Linked DNA regions of Canis lupus familiaris. The protein of the gene in region 2 interacts with the protein of the main gene of each other region in a pairwise test. Links are inferred from orthologs where the notes say so. Each region holds a gene or a part of one and is shown on either strand. Other genes may lie near its edges. The genes, in order: PGAP2, CREB3L1 and FXYD6.

Evidence for each region.
Region 1: the proteins of CREB3L1 (region 2) and PGAP2 interact in binary tests that used the Homo sapiens proteins (3 or more experiments, as listed by UniProt). The two-hybrid records come from large-scale screens. The link is inferred for Canis lupus familiaris from reciprocal best matches to the Homo sapiens genes CREB3L1 and PGAP2.
Region 3: the proteins of CREB3L1 (region 2) and FXYD6 interact in binary tests that used the Homo sapiens proteins (3 or more experiments, as listed by UniProt). The two-hybrid records come from large-scale screens. The link is inferred for Canis lupus familiaris from reciprocal best matches to the Homo sapiens genes CREB3L1 and FXYD6.

What each region holds. Positions count from the first base shown.
Region 1 is NC_049242.1:26,466,733-26,471,392, reverse strand, and holds the start of PGAP2 (post-GPI attachment to proteins factor 2), read right to left. Parts: upstream 3,045-4,660; 5' UTR 3,038-3,044; coding exon 2,949-3,037; intron 763-2,948; exon of another isoform or gene 646-762; intron 637-645; exon of another isoform or gene 427-636; intron 1-426.
Region 2 is NC_049239.1:43,564,009-43,568,736, reverse strand, and holds the end of CREB3L1 (cyclic AMP-responsive element-binding protein 3-like protein 1), read left to right. Parts: intron 1-432; coding exon 433-559; intron 560-3,098; coding exon 3,099-3,366; intron 3,367-3,489; coding exon 3,490-3,526; 3' UTR 3,527-4,199; downstream 4,200-4,728.
Region 3 is NC_049226.1:15,824,282-15,828,956, reverse strand, and holds the start of FXYD6 (FXYD domain-containing ion transport regulator 6 precursor), read right to left. Parts: upstream 2,887-4,675; 5' UTR 2,878-2,886; coding exon 2,820-2,877; intron 2,279-2,819; coding exon 2,243-2,278; intron 2,124-2,242; coding exon 2,049-2,123; intron 1,359-2,048; coding exon 1,322-1,358; intron 521-1,321; coding exon 471-520; intron 1-470. UniProt on the Homo sapiens protein: Associates with and regulates the activity of the sodium/potassium-transporting ATPase (NKA) which catalyzes the hydrolysis of ATP coupled with the exchange of Na(+) and K(+) ions across the plasma membrane.

The DNA.
Region 1 (4,660 bases), on a different chromosome or scaffold from region 2:
TACTATTACAAAAGAACTAAAATTAAAAAAAAAGAATAAAGGAAAGAAACAGAAATGGAACAGATTGGACAAATTAGAAAATGCTAGATAAAACCCTGAATATACCAGTAAATTCTTTAAATGCAATAGACTAAATGCTCTAGTTCAAAGTCAAATGTATTCACACAAGATTTATGAAAATCTAATTGTATGTTATTTATAAACATTATCCTTCCTTATCAAGTTGTAGGAAAAAGAGGAAGGAAATCAACCTTTACTAGGTACTTACTGTGTGTCAAACATGTGCCCAGTTCTTTGCAAATTCCCTTATTTGACCTTTACAAGACCTTACAACATGGGAATTTTTCTGCCCATTTTATAGATAAGGGAAGTGGGTCACAGAACAGTTAAATATTTGTGCGAGGTCTAAAAAGTAGCAAGACATACTTAGCTGTTTAACTCCAAATCTGACACTCTTTCCAATGTACCACTTAAGAAATCTAGACCATCACTCTGAAAGACAAAGTCTCTTGCTCTTCCCTGATTCTGTAGTCTTTATGAGTCCTGTCTCCTCCCTGAGGACCAATGTTTCAAAGCTGCATAGGGTGAGCTCTCACAGCATGTATGTGAGAGACTGGAGGGTTCCTAGCACAGAGCTGGACTTTCCTTTGTTTTGTCTCTCTTGGCCAGAGCAGAGTGTTGAGCTTTGGACATCTCTGGGATCCTGATGCCCAGGAGAGGGCTTGGTTCAGCAAACTTGTGAGCACGCACCAAATTCCTTTTCTTTAGAAGGGAAGAAGGAAGATGATGATAATCAAAAAGGCATTATGAGAATTAGGCAGAGTAAGAGTATATTGTCTACAAAGTCCTTTCTAGGGCAGAAGTACCCAGGAATGATGAACTTAATAACCATATGCCTACCACAGTAAGCATATGCAGAGAAGTCTTTCTGCATAGAAATCATCAGAAGGGATCCCTGGGTGGCGCAGCGGTTTGGCACCTGCCTTTGGCCCAGGGCGCGATCCTGGAGACCCGGGATCGAATCCCACATTGGGCTCCCGGTGCATGGAGCCTGCTTCTCCCTCTGACTATGTCTCTGCCTCTCTCTCTCTCTCTCTGTGACTATCATAAATAAAAAAAAAAAAAAAGAAAAAGAAATCATCAGAATTATAGAACTTTTACCTTGTGGCACCCCTCATCCAATGCCTCTCCCTCCAGTCTTCCTGCAACTATGCACTATTTAATGATCCTAGCTTCTGTATACACACTAGTACTTTGGACTGAATGTATTTACTTACAACATACTTTTGAGCCCCATTTCTGTGTCAGAATCAGTGTCTTAGAATATTTAGAATGGAAATTTCTTGATATTTTATTTATTTATTCATTTTGAGAGAGTGTACACACATGCACATGAGCGGGGGAGGGTCGAGGGGGGCAGAGGAAGAGAGAATCTCAAGCAGGTTCAATGCTCAGTGTGGAGCCCTACACAGGACTCAATCTCATGACACTGAGATCATGACTTGAGCTGAAATCAAGAGTCAGATGCTTACCTGGCTGAGTTACCCAAATGCCTCAGGAATTCCTTGACATTTTTAAAGAATAGGAATAATTATTTTACAGACAAGAAAACAGGTTCAGGTGTTAAGAAATTTGCCCAAATTCACACAGGTAATAAATGGTTGGACTCAGATTTAAACCCAGGGTTCCCTGACTTAAAAGTCTCACACTTCTAAAAAAAAAAAAAAAAAGTCTCACACTTCTACTACTATTCTGCTTAAGACAATAATTCACTCATTCATGCATGAAACATTTAATGTGGACCTACACTGTAGGCCTGGCCTTAGGGATACCAGAATAGTTGTGTTTCAGGACTGAAGGATGAGAAATCAAAGTTTCAGTAGGTCTTTGAGGAAGGTACAGTAAACTATCCAGGGAGAACTAATGACTTTCTAATGTAGAACACAGGCAAGGGAGGGTGGAGGAAAGGAAGGGATGTTTGGATGCAGGAGTGGGGGGAAAGTGGCTGGAGTCAGATGTTTAAACTAGCTTTCCTATTTGAACATCTATATATTTATTTTTTCCTTCCTTTGAACACCAACTGAGCACCTACCAGATGTCTCCTATCCATTATCTTATTTCATCTTTACAACCATTCCGCTTCCTAACAAATTAGCCAATTTTTTCTAATTCCTTGCTACCATTGAACACTAAGAGGGATTTAAATTCATCTACTTTTGTGCAGAGCCCATTTCAGTCTTGTATTGATGTTCCAGGAGAAGGTGGTGGTGGAGAGTAGTCTGAATAGGTTTTGCTTTCTGAGCACAGTCCCTGCTATTCTGTGTCAGGACTCTCAGTTACTGGGTCTGGTTTCTAGAACATGCTCAACATTTCCCCTTGTAATACTTCTGTTTTGGACTAGGCCAGGGTGGGGAAGGGAAACCTTTATGAATAAAATGCCGCTGTGACCTTAAAGAGCCTGGGCACAGAAGACAGAAAAGTAAATAATAGGATACAAAGTGACAAAGCTGTAACAGAGGCCTGCCCAACCAAGCAGTAGCCCAACACTCTGAGACAGATCTGGGAATGTATCCCAGAGAAGGCGGGAACATTTGAACCAGGCCTTTAAGAATAAATAAGAGCTCCTAAAGTGCAGGTGGTTAAGAAGTTCCAAGAATACTCATTTGTAACATATCCTACCCTGAGCCATTCCCTTAGGGCATGCTCATAGCGTCTATTCTGGGGATTCAGAGAGGAAAGGTTGTGACGGGGCCGGCATAGGTTGGGAAACCAGGAGGCCAGGTTTTGGGGCCTCAGAGCAGCTGCAGGCGAGCTATGCGGAGAGACAGACCTCCCAGGAGGGCCCTCCAGCTCCGCACGTGGTCTGGCCAGGAAGTACGGGCAGGACTACGGGGAAGCCTTCCCATCACCGCCCGCGGACTGGGGCAACGAAAGGGTAGAATAGTTACCATGCCATCCTGGAGCCTCCCCTCTGATTGGCCCGAGCTTCAGCAGCCTGACTGTCTCGGCTCCAACGCGGGGGGCGGAGCCTCGGCATAGCGTCACCACCCTTCTCCCGCACCCCGCCCAGTGCACACCAACGCAGCCACTCACAAGCCCGCCTCGCGGGGGCCTTGTGTGACGTCACGACTCGCCCCAGCCAATCGCGGCAGAGGGGGCGGGACTCCCTGTCCCTCCCACCGTCCCTCCCATTTCCCCCCCGTAACTCCTCCCGTTCCTCCTCTTCCCCCTCGCTCCTTCTCCCGAAGACCGCCCTCACGTTCGGTTTCAAAAGACCAGTTGCCCAATGAGTCGCAGGGCGGGCCTAGAGTGGCGGGGGCGTCTGCCAATGCGCAGGCAGCGAGGGCGGAGCGCCCGGGGCGAGCCTGTGACGGTAGGCGGCGTGTGACGCAGTCGGGCCCTCTGCGCGCTGCGCCCGAAGCGGCGGTCGGTGGCGGCGGTGGTATCGGCGGCGACGGTTTCGTGGCGGCCGCGCGCTGCTCCCCGAGCGGCGGGTGGCGGACGGGCCTAGGCCTTCACTCCTGACACTTCCCTTCCCCCACCGCACCGCGGTAAGTGGAGAGCCCGGGCGGTGGCGGCCCCGGACCGACAGGCTCCTCCTCCCCTCTGGGCGGGCGGGTGCGCGGGGCGTCCCAGGCCCTCCGCGCCGAAGTCTCGCGCCCGGGCGCGCACCTTCTGCCCCGAGGGAGGGGGCGGGGCCCGCGACCCCGCGGCCCCGCGGCCCCGCGGCCCCGCGGCCCCGAGGCCCCGAGGCCCGGCTCTGCGGGCGCTGGGAGGGGACCGAGGTCCGGGGAGCCAGGGCCCCGGGGTCTCCCGTGGCAGCCTGCGCTCGGGGAGCGTCCATGTATCTGGTGGTACTCATTCATTTGCCTGGCGGTGATTAGGTGGGCGGGCCCTTTGCGGGGGCCGCGTCTTAGGACCCTGAATAGGATCTCCCCAGCGCTTGCTTGGTTGACGGTCGTTCGGGACGGGCTTTAATTTGCCTTGACGTCTCCACGGGGGAGATGTGCAGCCCGGCGTTTCGGATGGGTGGGTCGGGAGTTTGTTAAGCTTTTTAACACAAGATCTGAGAATTAAGATCGATCTAGTGGAGTAAAAGGTTATTTTCTGCCCTCCCACGTGTTTCGTGTAAAGCTAGAGGAGGAGAAAGGTGGGATTTCTGGATTACTGTAGCTTTGGGGAACCTTAGAAATTAAGCCAATCCCCCTATCGTACATCACGTGCGAGTTTTATAGGTGGAGGAACTGAGGTCCAAAGAAGGGACAGGATTAGGATTAGCCTGTACCAGATCCGCCTCAGTCTAGAAATTTTTCTACTGTATCACTCTCCCTGGGTGTTCCATCCTCCTATTATTGAAGGTTCAATTTGGAACCTTTGGGGGGAGGGGGGTGGGGGCTTCGGTATTTAGAAGCAGCCTTCAACAGCGTTTCTGCGTGGTTACCAGTTCTGTTCGTGTTAAGGCAGAAACTTCATCTGCGGGACCCTAACCTAAACCATGAGAATTAAAAAGTTGGGTAAGGAATGTCGGTGATGTAAATGTATTGGAAACAAATGGATAAGACTCCCATGTCTGGCTAATTTCCTATTCCAAATCTGAAATTATTTGTGTCAGCTGCTGGGGACTCAGGAGACAGAATCCACTTAGTGACTCATAAGAGTT
Region 2 (4,728 bases):
GCTGTCAGGCAGTTACAATGTGGGCAGGGCTTAGTTCCAGCTGTGTGACCCTTAGCTCCTCCTGCTGAGAATCTGGTGTGATGCTCTGTCCCCCATCCTTGTCTCCTCCTAAAAGCCCCCACCTACTCCTTTCTTCCTATCCTGATTCCTCTACCTTATAGGTAATAACTGTGTTACCACTTCCCTCCTTTTCTAATGCTGACTGTGGTGGCCCCCCACCCTACGATGGGCTGAGATGGCCTGAGCAGCCTCCTCCACCTTCTCCCTAAAGGGTGGAAGACCCCACATCTAGGAGGTGGTTGGCTCTGGGTGCTACTTTCTTGGAAAAATATGGGCCTTTTATACCTATTGATTTTGGGGGAGAAGGATTGGGGATGGCCAGGGTTGCACACCCCCCACATCTGCTCTGACCCCCACCCCCTCTACTACCAGGTGGCAGCCTTGTGCTTCGTTCTGGTGCTGGGCTCACTTGTGCCCTGCCTCCCTGAGTTCTCCTCCAGCTCCCAGACTGTGAAGGAAGACCCCATGGCCACTGACAGCGTCTACACAGCCAGTCAGAGTGAGTGCCTCCTGAGCCAGGCTACCTTCCCTCAGTCTCAACTTCGGGGCAAAAGCCAGATAAAAGAGAGGAGGCCGGCTTCCAGGTTGGCAACATCTCATTCGACCTCTTCATTTTGCAAATGGAGAAACAGGCCCTAAAGGGTCTGTGATTTATTCAATGTTCATTGTGGAATTGGGACCACAATGCAGGCTTCCCGATCCCAGCCCACCCAAGAGTGGCCTGCGGGGGTGGGGGTGGTTTAGGGGATAGTGGGAATGTTCCCACCCTGCCCTTTCCCACCGCCCCACCCCCAGGAATTACAGTAGCTGTGGTTATGGGCATCTGCTAGAAACGATTAGTATTTCACACCTGGGACAACAAATGAGTTGAGGTTCCAGCGCCCTACCCAATAAGCTGGTGGTGACTGTCCGAAGCACCGTGTAAGGAGAGCCAGGATCCACTGGTAGTGTCAGGCGTGTGCAGAGGAGGGGCAGTTGTGGTTGCAGGCTCAGACCTTTACCATCCCCTGGGTGACTGTGAGGTACGGTGCTTAAAGAGCATTGGGCCTCAGAGTTGGTCATGCCTGCCATCACCACTTGCTGACTGCGGGACCTTGGGCACATGTCTTGAGCTCCCTATGCTTTAAATGTCTTCATCCAAAAAACAGGAGTTACAGTTCTGCACTCACTGAGCGTGGTTGTCATCACAACTAAATGGCATGATGCACATACACTCTTAGCACAGGGTTCAGTACACAGCAGGCGCTTACTAAAGGAGCACATTCCCTCCCTTTTTGAAGACCTCACAAGAGGAGAGAAGAGAGAGACAATATGTGGGCGGCAAGGAGAGAACTGGTAGAGGGTGCGGCAAAGAATAGTATGGATTTCCAGAGGCAGAAGGGACTTCAGGTAGACCTACAGAGGAACTTCCTCCCTGGGAAGGAATTGTCTGGCAGGGCAGGAGGAGGAAAAGGAAACGGATGGGAGGTCAAAGAGGGAGGAGACAGCAGGAATAGGACTCAGGAGGGATAGGCAGGGAGAATGAGCTAGACCAGCAGGGCCTTCAGAGGTGGAAGGGGTGGGGAGGGTTAGAGGAAAAGGAAGTGGAGGCGTTGAGTGGTTGACTGAAAGCCACTCCCAGGACATGTGTGGCCAGAGACTCTTCTTCAGGACAGTTGCTGAGGGAGGTGGGGTGCAGGGGGTGTGAGGCCTTGAGAGTCATGAATTCATTCTCCAAAGCCAGAGAGGCCCTCTTCCGGTGAATTTGGAGGAAGAGAGGGATGTGGAAGGTGGAGGCCATGTTGATGGATGAAGCCAGAGTCTGAGGAAGTGAGGGGATGAATGAGCTCCTTGGAGTGAGTGCAGTGGGTTGCAGACTCCCAGTGTGCACCTGTGGTAGGACTTGGCTTCTAGAGCTGGCTGGCTTTCAGAGCAGGTACATTGCTCAGTTGCAGGGAGTGCCCTTTACACAGACTCTTAGGTCATGGCCTGAGGGCAGGAAGGTGGTGGTAGATCCTGGAGCCAGACGGACCTGGGTTTGCCTCTGGCTTCCAGCGTAAGCCCAAGTATCTGATAAGCTGGAAACTCAGTTACCTGTTCTATAAAACAGAGCTAAAAATATCTCCTTCCCAGGACTTTCAGTGAGATATGAGTGATTTGATATGCAGGTCAAAGGGCTTTGCACAATGCCACGCACAAAGGAGATATCCAACAGATGTGTTTTCTTTTCCTTCATTTTCCAGAAGGACACACTAGGGCCTAGAATGGGAAAGGGGGTGGGCAAACTCCTGGGTGGCTCAGTGGTTAAGCGTCTGCCTTCGGCTCAGGGCGTGATTCTGGAGTTCTGAGATAGAGTCCCACATTGGGCTCCCCACATGGAGCCTGCTTCTCCCTCTGCCTATGTCTTTGCCTCCCTATCTTTCTGTGTCTCTCATGAATAAATAAATAAAATCTTAAAAAAAAAAAAAAGAATGGGAAAGGGGGTGCCTGGGTGGCTCAGGGGGGTTAAGCCTCTGCCTAGCTGTTCCCTCCCACCCCCCCTTTACTCCCCCAAGACTCCTTGCTCACCGGGAAATCTGCTTCTCCACCCCCCCCCCTTGTGCTCTCTCTTTCAAAGAAATAAAATCTTCACCAAAAAAATTTAAAAATAAAAGGGAAGAGATTGATTCAAGTTCTCACAGAAAGTGAGTTAGTAGAAGCAGGATCAGAACCCAACTCTCAGATGCCCACCCTGGTACCCAGTGCTTAGGAAGAACTACTTTCTCCAAGTTCTTCCCTAAACAATTTTCAATCACTTTCCCCAGATTGTCTCATTAAACCACATTTCTATGAGGTTGGCCCTAGTATCCCTATTTTACAGATGAGCAAACTAAGGCTCAGAAAGGTTAAAGCAAAGGCCTGACTCACCTGAGGTCATACCAATTGGAAATGTTAGAACTGGGGCTCAACAAACTCAGGCCTGTAAAGTTGCAGGGCCCTCATCCCTCACTGTTGGGCTGGGAATGTGGCTGGGAGCAGGGAGCCTCTGCACTGAAGCTCACCATGAGTTCTCTGTCCAGTGCCCTCCCGGAGCCTCCTGTTCTATGACGAGGGGGCAGGCTCGTGGGAGGATGGCCGCGGTGCCCTGCTGCCTGTGGAGCCCCCAGATGGCTGGGAAATCAACCCCGGGGGGCCGGCGGAGCAGCGGCCCCAGGACCACCTGCAGCATGACCACCTGGACAGCACCCACGAGACCACCAAGTACCTGAGTGAGGCCTGGCCAAAAGACATCGGTGGAAACGGCACCAGCCCCGACTTCTCTCACCCCAAGGAGTGGTTCCGTGAGAGGTAAGTGGTTGGCCCTTTGCCATCCCAGGGTCCCAGGCTCCACCCACATTCTGCTCCAGCATGCAGAGAGGTGAGAAGCTCCTCACTGGACAGACTCACCCCAGACTTCTGTTCTCTTTCCAGGGATCTGGGCCCCAATACCACCATCAAACTCTCCTAGGCCGCGCCAAGACCCAGGACACAGGACCTACCCTCTGGCACCCAGAAGAGGGATTGTCTTGCTCTCTAACCCGGATCCAGCTTGTACCCCTGTCCCCTGGGCTCCCACCCCAGGAGAAAGGGTTCCACTTCTCCCCAGCCCTATCTTTGCCCCAATCTTTACCAGGGCCCCTCCTTTCCCCACCACATTTGGACTGTTCCCTTGGGCCGACCACTCTGTTCTCACCCCTCCCTCCCACAGTCATCCGTCCTTCTCAGATAAACCACTCACTGGGCTAACCCCCTCCTTTCTCATCATGACCAACACGACCACTGCCTGCCCGCCCCCTCCCCGCAAACACACCCACCAACATACCGACACACCCCCCCACCCCCGCCCCACTGTACAGAGACCAAGAACAGAAATTGTTTGTAAATAATGAACCTTATTTTTTATTATTGCCAATCCCCTAAGATATTGTATTTTACAAGTCTCCATCCTCCCTTCACCCCTCCCTTGTTTTATATTTTATAAAGTTAGTGCGGGCTTTGCTGTTCCCGGGCCCTCATCTGGCCTCCCCCTGCCGCCGCCCAAGCCGCCAGGCCTTTTTAATTGCCAGACTGCTTCATCCATCAGCTCAGCACATGCTTTAAGAAGGCAAAAGTAAAAAAAAAAAAAAAAGATGCAGCATCAATTCCTGACTTTGTGCCTTTCTTCATGGAGGGGGGTGACCAGGACCTGGGGATAGGCAGTGAAAAGGGGAAGTTGATTTTATGTCCTGCCAGGGGTTCATTGGAGAGGGCAGGGGTGAAAGGCATTTCTCCCAGGCTCCCTCTTCCCTCTGGGCGCAGGATTCAAACTAGACAAAGGATTCTGCTGTAATGTCCCCACCCCGCGGCCCCTCCTCCTGCGCTGCCTATGGAGGTAGAGAGGCCTGGCAGCCAGTCTTGGCCTTTGGGGATGCCACCTGCAAGCATCAAGCACCTGCTATGGACCAGACCCTGGGCCAGACACCTTCCGGGCAGTACCCAGCTTGGTCCTCCTGAGACCCACCGCATTTCAGCTCTTGTATCCTCGGCCTCAGCTGGGTCAAAAGTACAGACTTCACGGCAGGAAGAGCTGTGCTCGACTGCTGGGACTGCCACTTACTAGCTGTGTGTGGTAGGCATCCAAGCTTCCTGCCCCCCAGGCTCCCCCCATTGCCTCCACCACACACATCTATT
Region 3 (4,675 bases), on a different chromosome or scaffold from region 2:
AGGCCACCCTCCTGCAGGCAGCTGTGCCCGTGCCCGACACCAGGGGAGAGTCTGGACCATACAGCCAAGAGGCAACTTGGCAGGATTCTGAGTCAGACAGACCCAGGTGCAAATCCTCACCCTGCTACTTGCTGATTCTAAGAGTCTGGTACATTCCTTAGCTTTTCTGAGTCCCTTGGTGATAAAATGCTGACAGTGAGGTCTAATCACATGAAGGCCCCTGGTACCGTGCCCAACACAAAGCGGATGCCCTCTGAACAGTGGCTGTCAGTAGGGAGAAGGAAGCCTGTCTGGGGGAGGTGAGGGAGCCACGCAGAGCAGAGGCCCTGGAGGCCCCTTTTACGGCACAGACACGGGAGCACGTCTGCTTAGCCCTAGGGAGACCGTGGTGCCCGATGACCACCCTTCCCTGAGATGTCCGAGGACCCTCCGCAGTGACTTCTATCCCCCGGGGCTGGTGGTCACATTACCATTTGCAGTGATGAGGTTCTCCACCTGGGCCTCCTCATCCCCTGGAGCCCTGCAAGAACAAGAGACACAGCCCTTCCGTCAGAGGTCTGCACAGCAAGCCCAGTCTCCTTGCTGCCACGCGACAGTCTGCATGGGTCCCCACTGAGTCACTGGAGGGCGGGTGCACTCTCCACCTGGGGGTGCGTGGGGCAGGGGGTAGAAGCTGGGGTTGAAGGATGCGGTGTCGGGAACTCACAGGAACCTTCAGTGTTGGCTCTGGAGACAACTAAGTGCTGGGAAGGAGTGGCCAAAGGCCGCCTCAGGGCTTGGGTTGTGTCCTGCCAGACTTTGGACTTCGGAGGTCCTAGTGCTACCCCTGGTTTTTGTAGTGGACTAATGGGGTACATTCTTTAAGGGAGGGGATGAATGACAGGGAGCCCAAGCTTCTACTCAGCCGAAGAGCCCCATGAGCAGGTAACAAGCAGGGGCAGTGACACAGGTCCTATAGAAAGGATGTAGACCTCCTGAGAGGCTCTGAGGCCCTCTGCATCCCTCCTCCCAAGCCCAACTGTCTCCAGGGCCTCCAGACGAGCATCCAGCACCTTCTTGCCTACCTCCCCTCCCTAATATACATCAGAAGAGAGGAGGGGCTCGCCTCAACAGTTTGAGATTTACTTTGCCCCAGAACATGCCTGGCAGTGCTCAAAGCTTCTCCTCTGCTCTCCACACACACACACACACACACACACACACACACACAAGGCCTCTTTCTAAGAAGTCAAAAGAACGCTCATTTGGGCTCACACACCAGGGGGCCCTCCCTGTCCCTTCCTAGTTTCACCCCAGATGTCCACAGACACGGCATCCTTACCGGGGCTTCTGATTGAAACTGCACTTGCATCTGCGACCTAAAAAGCAAAGAAACCACCCAAGGTCATGCTCCCAGCTCGAGCTTAAGGCCATGCTCCCGCTGTGAGCCCAAGGTCATGCTTCTTGAGCCCAAGGTCATGCTCCCGGCTTGAGCCCAAGGTCATGCTCCCGGCTTGAGCCCAAGGTCACGCTCCTGGCTTGACCAGAGCAGGGCTGCCACATAGGACTACATAAAAAACACAGCAACGTGCAGCAATCCTTGGAGTAGGGTTCTTCTGAGGTCAAGGTTCAACGATTCAGTGGCTTCAATTGACTACCCTGCCACTGATTGAGTCGACTCAATCAGGCAAGTGCACAGGGCTCCATGCAGCCCAGGCTCATGTGGGAAAAACAAATGCAGGGCACATCCTCCGGAGCACTCTGGGGACAGCCTCTAACTCCTGTGGACCCTGCCCCACCTATGCCTCCTGGACACAAGCCCCAGGAGAGCCACCCTGCCCCTTCCTATTCCGTTTGTTTTCATCAAGCATTTATTTTGCTCATTCTTCACTGTTTTACTGAGCACTTACTATGTGCCCCAGGCTGTATATTAGGTCCTAGAGATACCAGGGAGGATGGACAGCCTCTTCTCTGTCCAGGTGAGGGTGTGGCCTGGCTCTGACACCATTCTCTACCTGCTTAGCAGCCTCAGACAACACCCTTCCAGAGCAAACAGGGAACGAACTTACTCAGGATAAGGAGAATCCCCACCGAGAAGAGCACCACGGCAAACACCAGGCCCCCAATCCTCAGCGTCTGATAGTCTATCAAAGGAGCAAGAGTGAGACATGGAATGAGAGGAAGGTGGGGAAGAGCATGGCTTGCCCTCCCCCGGGTGGGGCTATACCTCCCCTTCCCCACCCAGGGTTCCCATCAAGCTCACCATAATGGAAAGGGTCCTTCTCATTCTCCTGCTCAGCTGCTGAAAAAAAGAAACAAGTGTGGGCAAGAGAAAGACACTTATACCTCTGGTTCCCGAATACCACCCAAGCCCCCCAGGCCTCATTTCTCACAAAGGGACTCCTGGGAAGCACCATACAGGTGCCTGGGGAGGCAGAGAAGGGTGGGCCAGCCTGAGAGTCGAGGGGGGTTCGGCTCAGAACCCCAGTGTGAGTCTGCCTCCACAGCACATCCACATCCTTTGCGAGGCAGGGGCTGTTACCCTCTTGTTAACAGCCAGGGAAACAGAGACCAAGGTCAGGTTCTAGAGTGGGCTCCTGAGGTTCAGACCGACAGTCTACAGAGACCTGGAAGGCTTGAGGACTGACGGTAAAGCCTGCTGGGCTCTGTGGGGAGGGGTGGGCAGGCTGGAGGCGGCTCGGAGAACACCTGCTGCCTTCCAGCACCTTCTCTGCTGACTAAAGCGGGGACGGGCCGTCACTGATCAGACATGTAGACTTTGAGAGCCCCCTTGCCCGGCCCTATAGTCTCACAGGGTCGGGACCTGGAGGGGGACTTACCACTGGCCAGGACGGTGGGAGCCAGCATGCTGCACAGAAAGATCAGTGCCACCTCCATGGTGTCTGCGGACGGAGGAGGAGGAGAAGTCATTCTCTGCATGGGGGACTCCCCACCCCAACCCTCAGCCTGATTAGGGGGCTCTGAGTGGGGTTCCCAGGTCTACGTTGAGCACCCTCAACACCGTGAAAGTGATAGAGCAGAAGCAGCTGCCGTTTGCCCAACTCTTAAGGAGAGCTCTGCCTGCATTAATTCAATTCCTACAACAGAATCAATGCAATCGGTAGGCGCAGGGACTGACCCATCCTGTAGGGGAAGAGCCTGCCTGAGCTGGACACGCAGGACAGTGAGCAGCAGAGCCTTGGGGAGCCCTCCTTGAGAGCCCACGCTGCCTCTCCCATGCCCAAGCCAGAAAGCCCCCAGGGCTTTGGTAATGACCCTCTGCTGCGCCCTCCTCTTGAGGCCACCTCCAGGTCACTAAGAGGTTTGGGACTTCCCGGCCAGGTTCCCCACGTTTGATGAGACTGAATGGGGCAGGTAAGTGAATGCCTCTCTAGCCCAGCCAGCCACACGGGGCTGGGGAGGCTTGCTGTTCACTGGTCTCCATGTGGTAAACCCCGAGATGCCCGACACCCTCACTTCTAAAGTGCCCGAGTCGATGCTTCCCACAGGTTTCATGGAGTTAATACTCCTCCAGGAAGGCGGTTTGGTCAAACAAAGGTGCTTTGATGCCCTCGTGAGCTCATCAAGCCCCTGTCTTTGGGGCCAGGGTCCCCAGGATGGGTCCTCTGGACAGAGGTGGAAGGTGGCCAGCTGGTCCCTTCCAGGGACAGAGTTCAGTGCCATGACACACACCTTACTCCTGGGCTTACACAAGTGTGGTGATGAGCCAGCAAGGAAAAGTGGGGAGAAAAGCCCAAACTAGAAAAGCACAAGGCTGTCCACCCTTTATGGGGGTGAGCCTGGCAGTGGCCTGCACCCTGGACTGGTATCGAGTGGCCAGGACCATGCTGGCTCCGAGGGATCACCCCCATTGCCTCTCAGGCCGCAAGCAAGCAGCCCCAGCTGCCCTTCACCTCTCAGCCACCAGAGGTCAGAACAACTGCATCCAGCTCCGCGGGGCCCATGAGAGAAAGCCTCCCAGGAAGTGTTTACCAAAAGGCAGTAATTTGCTTCTAATGCCATTCATCTAAGATTTGCAATTCTTTTCAATTTTACATGTTCTGTATCTATAAAAGTGCATGTAGCACACGCGTATAATGAAGCTCAGTAAGACGAACACCGGTAATTTAAGAACTAGACCTTTACAAACACCTGCTGCATTTACCTGTACTTTCTTCCAACCCATCCCCCCTCCCTCTGCCTCACTCCCACAGGTGATCAGTATCCTGGACAACAAGTACCCATACATTTGTCATCATTGGCTTGTTCTTCAAAGGCATTTTTAAAAAAGATTTATTTATTTATTTGAGAAAAAGAATGCATGTGAGCGGGAGGAGGGGCAGAGGCAGAGGGAGAATCTCCAGGAGACCCCACTGAGCACGGAGCCTGGCAAGGCAGGGCTCCATCCAGGACCCTGAGATCATGACCTGAGCCGAAACCAAGGTCGGATGCATCACTGACTGAGCCACCCAGGCACCCTACTCAAAGACGTTTTTAGATTAAGATATAATTCACATACCATGAAAGTCACTTAAAAGTGTACAATCCAGTGCTTTTCAGTACATTCAGAAAACTGTGCAGCCATCAGCACTGATTCCATAACGTGTTCATCACCCCAGAAAGCAACCCTGTCCCCATCAGCAGTTGCTCCTGTTCTGTTCTCTCCACCCCCTGGCCCCTGACAACCATCATCTCC